2 linked regions of the Drosophila melanogaster genome follow. The protein of the gene in region 1 purifies or fractionates together with the protein of each later gene. This does not show direct contact. Each region holds a gene or a part of one and is shown on either strand. Other genes may lie near its edges.

Evidence for each region.
Region 2: the proteins of CG17768 (region 1) and CG6610 purify together in Drosophila melanogaster (affinity purification with mass spectrometry, with the first as the bait; one large-scale study listed by BioGRID). This does not show direct contact.

What each region holds. Positions count from the first base shown.
Region 1 is NT_033779.5:10,402,673-10,407,200, forward strand, and holds CG17768 (uncharacterized protein), read right to left. Parts: upstream 2,532-4,528; 5' UTR 2,465-2,531; coding exon of another isoform or gene 2,157-2,464; intron 2,083-2,156; coding exon of another isoform or gene 1,939-2,082; intron 1,879-1,938; coding exon of another isoform or gene 1,713-1,878; 5' UTR 1,324-1,712; coding exon 1,321-1,323; intron 1,261-1,320; coding exon 1,219-1,260; intron 1,157-1,218; coding exon 1,058-1,156; intron 885-1,057; coding exon 564-884; 3' UTR 525-563; downstream 1-524. Other genes in the region: Cnot4 (CCR4-NOT transcription complex subunit 4), read left to right, coding at 1-98; LSm-4 (uncharacterized protein), read right to left, coding at 1,713-1,878, 1,939-2,082, 2,157-2,464; Ir31a (ionotropic receptor 31a), read left to right, coding at 3,080-3,227, 3,281-3,765, 3,827-4,528.
Region 2 is NT_037436.4:6,073,875-6,076,799, reverse strand, and holds CG6610 (uncharacterized protein), read right to left. Parts: upstream 1,265-2,925; 5' UTR 1,161-1,264; coding exon 1,112-1,160; intron 1,040-1,111; coding exon 843-1,039; intron 778-842; coding exon 748-777; 3' UTR 542-747; downstream 1-541. Other genes in the region: CG13295 (uncharacterized protein), read left to right, coding at 1,683-1,767, 1,828-2,252, 2,311-2,925.

The DNA of each region.
Region 1 (4,528 bases):
CCAATAGTTTGCTGAACGGACAACAAACGCAGCCGCCACAGGTCAATGCCAATGTTCAGGGCATGCTTGAGTTTTTAAAAAGCCGTCAATTCGTTTAGCTACAATACATATAAATAATACATTTGTTTACCTGTACTCTTTATTAAATATTTCTTAAAGTAAATATAGGCAAAATAAAATTCGAATATAATGAAACTACATGATACAAACAAACAGACGGTCCAGTGAAATTCAGCCTACTAAAAGCATTTGTGCAGCAAGCGAAACACTTGGATGCCGTCTCCCCGCGCCGGACGTGTCCGCATGAATCCAATTATAGTATCCAATAAACCCCGTTCAGGGTGTAGTCTGCTTGGCAATAGTGAAGCCCCCAGTGATTTTTCAAACTTGAAACCAACTCATTCCAATTGCTCGCTGGATAAAAGACAGATTACCATGGCAATAAGTAGCAAAGAAAACCTCGTGATGTGAAATTATCGAGACTGTGTAAAAATGTCAACTTTTTAATAATAAATACGTGACTTGAAATGGTTGAAAAGAATTTATTACTACGATCCGAAGAACTATTTCCTATTTTTGGCGGCGTGGGGCAGACGGTTCCCTTGGCCAGCAGCGCCACCCAGGCGCATCGCGTTGTTAGCAGCACCTCCGTATCCCTGGCCGGGACGATTGCCGACATTGTTGCGGTTGCCGCCACCAGGACGTCCGCCGCGCTGATTTTGCGACGAGTTGCCGCCGCGGTTTTTGTTCATCTCTGTGCGATTCCTTGACTTGGCCTGCGCGTCCTCCTTGACCATGTCGATTACTTCGTCGGGGATTCGCAGATATTTGATGGTGCTCCCGCGGATATAACATTCGGGCATGCGCCAAAACCGATCGCCATCCTGCAAAGTACACATACACATATTGGTATAAACAAGCTCTTCATGTTATCATTTTTCCGGCTGTTTACAAATCAATGCGATTGTATTTATGTATATACCAGTTGTCGCATATTTTGCACACCGGCAATCTACATATTAATTACATATACATACATATTTAATTAAAATATTACCTTTGAGGTGCAAATAACATCGCGCAGATTAATATTCATCCACGAGTCGCAACTAACCAGGTGACCATTGTATGTTTCACCATTTTTCAGCTCCACCAACTAAGTGAATTAGATTAAACAATTATGTGTATGACTAATGTGTGCAAATCCAAACATCTTACCATGGGATGGCTCTGTGCTGTTTTTAAAAGTGAAAGTGGCAGCTAAAACACATGAAAATTAATCATTTTTCTCTTTATTTACCATAAAATAATATTGCTTACCATTTTCGTGAAGTAATCGATTAATACAGCGATAACATGAAATCGGAAGAGATGTCAATCACTTTGTTGGAACGAAATGAATATGAAACACATGCTTATAAAGATAGCGTGTTCTGTTTTTTTTTGATTTCTTATAACATAATTTTAAATGGTAACCAAGAGAGAATGCTATAGTAGACTTCCCCGACTGTCAGATACCCGTTACTCAGCTAGTGTAAATTTCATCCTTTTTCTGGGATAATAATAGGGAGAAAAGATTTTAAAATTGTTTTGAAAGTGTGGGCGTGACCGCCTTGGCGGCTTTAAGGCGCTAGATTGAGTATGGCAAAAAGGACAGTCGGCGGGACAGTCGGATTAAATACTTCACCAAATGGATAAAAAAAACATGTAACTTATTTTAAAGCCAACCGGCTTTGCAATGACTGCAATTCATTTAGTAAGAGAGCAATATTATAGCGCACTTGTTGAAACATGGACAGTGGCAATTCTAAAGTTCGATATTCCTTATTTTGGAGCTTGAAGTGGAGGACTATTGTAGGTTTATCAATTTGCACGGTACTAGAAAATAAATTAGTAAAGTGAAGTAAAAATAAAATAGCGGTAAGGTTAAATACTTACTTTAATGATAAGGAAATGTTGATTCTCCATTGCAACTTTGACATTTTGACACGGTCCATTTTAGTATCTGAAAAGTTCTTGCTCAGTACGTCTCGATGGTTAAGCAAAACTTTGCAGATATCTTCAACATATTCTTCTGTTAAACTATTGACGAGATAAATAACAATTATGTTAGTGACGGTCAAGTTTTCCAAGTACGTATGCATTTGAATACTTACTTTAAATCGTCCATTAAACATTTTCGCAGCTCATGATGCTTCACCACGCCCTTGGGATATCTTAAAAAGATTTGCATTGTCAAGAAAACCATTGTAAAAAGTTCACAAAAGTTCGGAGGGATTTCGTGACCTCCATTTGTTAGTTTATTTAGTGCCAGGGAAAGCACTTCCGACGAAGACTTCTTTGATTCAATGTAGTGCACAGACACTTGAATAAGGACACGCAACATAGACTTAGTCAATTGCGGAGTGAATGAAGTGTATGGCTTTACACTCCTTAATAGATTATATCTAAACGTAGACGACATATTGCATACTCATAAATTTTGTACAAAAACATAAACAAACTAGAAATGCTACGTCTTCGATATGAGTTATTTTGATATTCGATGCTCACAATCGATATTAATCGTACTGTTTTTTTGTTTTTAATTAACAGAAATGGATTATTTGCATAAATTAAATTAAAAAGAAAAAAACTCTAGCTATGATTTTTGATATTAGCCTTAATAAAATAAGAAACTAAACATGTTATTTTGGCGTTTTAAAATTTACTGCAATTAGGTTACCCGTTTTGGTAAAGATTTTCAATAATTCGGTTGTTTATTAAAGAAATATTTACATATGTTATTACCCACTTGAATTTTGTTTAAATTACTACTAACTGGTTTAGTTTTGCCATAAGTGTTGGGAGAAGTTTACTTTCTCATTAAAAATTTATGATCCAATTTTACCTGTCAATCAAAGCTACACTTTAAATCAATTAAATTATTTCTGATTAGAGGGTATAGAAGCTGCATAGTAAATTATGAACCAATTGAAATTAGAATGGGTAATTAGCACCTGCAATTCATGCTGTCAATCAAACAGAAGACCTTACTATAAAATGGCACAACATTCCCAGCAGGATAAACAATAGTAAAATGAATCTCTTAATCAGTATGTTTATTTTAATACTAGCTGCAGGCGAGGGTGAAATAATTCCGAGTATGGAAGAATCCGTTGTAACTAATTTCGTTAAAAGTCTAGTAAAAACCAAGCAAGCAATAGTGTTTTCGTGTTTATTTAAAGGTAAGCAATGTGCTAAGTTACAATAAAGGTATTCATAATATATTTATTGATAGATTTTAAAGAAATCTCTCTTGCATTGATGCGAATTAATCAATTTGTGAGCGTAGTTAACCTTAACCAAAGTTATTCACTAACATCGATATTGACTCGGGAAAATTACGCTCGAACTTCTGTGATGGTAAATGCCAGATGCAGTGGATCATCTGAACTTCTTTTTGAAGCCTCTGAAAATAGGTATTTCAACAAAACCTATCAGTGGTTTCTCTGGGGTGTTGATCTCGAGGTTCAATCCCTATTTCCTTTAAATCTCAACTATGTTGGTCCCAACGCCCAGATAACCTATGTTAATGAAACCGCAGATGGTTATGCGTACTGGGATATTCATTCGAAAGGACGACACTTGAAGTCGAATTTGGAAATAAATTTAATAGCAACATTGATAAACGATACATTGAATATAGCTCGCGATATTTTCCATTTGCAAAGTATTGATTTTCGCGGACAATTTAATGGATTAACTCTAAGAGGAGCAAGTGTTGTAAGTAATGAATAAGTACTATAACTCATTAGATTTTAGCCATTTCAATTATGGATACTAGATCGACAAGGAGGATATAATCTCAAATGAACAAATTGAATCAATACTTTCGCGACCAACTAAGGATGCTGGAGTGGCTGCATTCATAAAGTATCACTACGAGCTTCTGGGACTTCTGAGAGAACGTTTCAATTTCACTGTTAACTTCCGAAATTCTAGAGGATGGGCTGGACGTTTGGGCAATACTACCTTTCGACTTGGACTCTTGGGAATAGTTATGCGAAATGAGGCAGATATAGCCGCATCCGGTGCCTTCAATCGAATTAATCGCTTTGCTGAGTTTGATACCATACACCAAAGTTGGAAATTTGAGACAGCTTTTCTATACCGCTACACTTCCGATTTGGATACTCATGGAAAAAGTGGTAACTTTCTGTCGCCATTCAGCGACAGAGTTTGGTTGTTCTGTCTATTAACCCTTGGTGCTTTTAGCATCATTTGGGTGCTATTTGAAATTATCGACTACAAGATATTGCGTATACGAGTTAATAGTCAAAAGCTGGAACATTTAAATCAGAAAAGTTCGGTGATTTGCATTAAGACCACATGCATTGAACGAATTTTACAGACATTTGGAGCCTGCTGCCAACAGGGATTGGACCCAAATCCTGTAGATCGTTCAGTGCGCTTTTTGGTAATGACACTGTTCCTATTCTCCCTGGTTATGTACAACTATTATACGTCTTCCGTCGTGGGCGGATTG
Region 2 (2,925 bases), on another chromosome or scaffold:
AAAAGTTTTCCATATTCGAGTTCGGTTCGGTTTTGTTGTCGCGTGAGTCTGTTTCCGCTTGGTTTGTTCCACTTCCGTCGAAGCCTGCTGCCGTACTGAACGCTGGAGGTGCCGAACGGAAGCGGGAGAACGCACGCAGAGCAGAGCGGTACTGCGGAGAGTGCACTGCACCCACACGCACGGCCAGAAGGGAAAAGCGGTTAATATTTATGGCACATGTTGACTGCTGTATCGCTGAGACCCAACATTTTGGGGATGGAGCGCATGCGCCTACTTTGCATGGCAGCCAGAGCACAAGTAGCGGTTGAATGTTAACGGAAAGACACTAAATATTTAATGTGAAGTTTGAATTTTTGAAGCTTGGAAGTCATTTTACAGAATTATTAGCGGTCGACCTTTTTCGGTATTCCATTTCAAGTGTATCCGGTCCCTATAAGCATAAAATATGCTTATTTATGTAAAATTAATTCTATTCCAATTGATAATTTAACAATGTTTTGTATATTAGGTAATATTATATAGTGTTTTATTCTGAGATTAGAGGGCAAATAATTTTCATTTCCTAAGCCAAGCGTTTTCAAATTCGTATCTGTTAGGACCAAAAATCTGTTAACATTGCTGTTAATCACTTGACCACTGCTAACTTCTAACATACCTCGAACATTTACATACGACACAATATTATCCACATTAAAACGACCGTTTTGATATTTTACAAATGTATTTATGTTTACAAATGGAACCTTGCTACTCCGCCAGCTCTCCGCCAGGCACCAACTGAAATCAAATTATAAATGAAATTTAATAAACAAACGTATGTAACTTCGAAAAAGAGCACCCACCATTGTGATATTGTTCCCGTTGAGCAGAATCTGATCCAGTTTGGTGATGCGGCGGCCGTCGGGGGTATTTTCATACTCCGTTACGTCGTCCAAGAGCATATTCACAAAGTCATCGAATCCTAAGAGAGTTCCCACCATCTCCTTGTCGTTCTTCATGATAATGTGGATGCGGGAACCGATGCATTTGTCCACCAATTCTGTAGGGTAGTACGGGAAGCCGGCAAAAGTTAGAAACTCTCGATTTGTAGACCTGTAGCAGATTTACGTACCCAATGGCATTAGGGTAGAGATGTTGGAGGGGGGTGGAACGGCAGTCATGTTGTCGTATGATTTGTTTACTATTATTAACAATAATAATTGGAATTGCGCTAAAAACTTTTTAGCAGCGAGGTAAACAATGCGGAATTCTGCGCAAAAACTGGCCACATCAAAAGTGTCAGCGTCAGTGCTGCAAAATCTTGTGGATAGAGTTAGCGTGAATATAGCTAAACGTTTAAAATTAATTAAAACATTTGTTTTCGTTGAAAACTAATTAATTTATTAATTACAAACTCATTAAAACTTTTTTATGACAAACTTATCAAGATTAACTATTTTATCGCAAGAATTTAAAGAACAATTTGTCAACATGAGGGACCTCAAAACACCCACCCAAACAGCCACCACTATTACCCAGATAGTAATGGATATTTGGCATTCAGTGCCGCGGTCCTACCAATTTTACCTCATAATTCAAGATCAGGAGTTATATATCCAAAATCTTAATCTCGCGGCAGTGCTCCCGTATGTTGGCCATCTGTGACGCGGTGCAGTGTTGTGCTGCCGCCCACTGCTTACATAATGTCCATGTCGTTGGGCTCCAAGATCCGGAAATTGGTCACCAGCAGACGGCACTTCCTGCTTTTGCGCCGATCGCTGAACCAAGGTCAGTTGATTTGAATGCGCCACAACTTTTGGATGATCATGTGATTGGGCGCTTTTGCAGATCTGACAACGGCGCTGAGACCCTTCTACTTCGCGGTGCATCCTGACTTCTTTGCCCAGCATCCGGAGCAGAGGAACACCAACGAGAACTCACTGAAATTGCTGAGTGAGCATCTAGAGGCTTTGTATGAACGCAGACAGCGAAGCGGGGACACCCAAGTGCTCAAGTTCTATGTACGCACCAGTTCAGATGCTGACAAGCGAGACTCCTTCAAGCTCATCCAAATACGCACGGACTGGCAGAGTACCCGAGATCCCAAAACCTTTATTCAAGGTCTTCTGGAGTCATGCAACTTGTCCACGGAGTATGTGAAGAACATTAAGGCCCAGCCTGAGCCGCCAAAAACCTCTGGCTTGGATTTTAAACCAAGCCATGACTATCACTATGACATGGAGTTCGCCGAGTTTGAAACTCAGTTGAAGAATGTTGGTATATAATTTTGAAATTTAAAAAACCATTTATATACTTATTTCCTTAACCCAGGAACGTGCCAGTAAGCGTCCAGTGCTGACCACCTGGCTGGAAGAGAATGCTGGCACAGCCAAACAGCGCTCTAAGGAAACTGCGGATCTGCAGGCCGAAATCGACAAACTGAAAAAAATGCTGGTAGAGAAACTGGAGTTGCAAGATGCTCGTTACGAGTGCGGCTGGAACATTGAGCACTACCGTGGCTGTTTAAAGACCCTTGAGCGACTATCCAACACCCATTTGTTGGAAATGGCTTCCCTGAAAGGTCGCATAGTGGTTTTTGCTCCCTTTACGGGCATCAGTTTAGAAGGCCATGTGATGCTTTTTACTGGTGATGTTCTCAGCACATGGATTGACTTCATCAAGAACATTCCGCACCACGATGCCTATTTAAAGGTGGTGCCCGTGTATGAACGAACACTGTCTCAGGTTCTACTGAACATCCAGATAGGTCGTCGCAAGTTTATGCCCAAACAACAGGCAAGTGGCTATGCAAGCTACCTCATGAAGGTCACCACTTCGCTCAGCGATTACCTGGGCAAACAAAAATATCCGCCGGAATGGCCGAAAACGCTGAAAGAGTTTACCATAGTGGTGGAATCAGAGGCAGGTCCTCTGATGGTAAGCCCT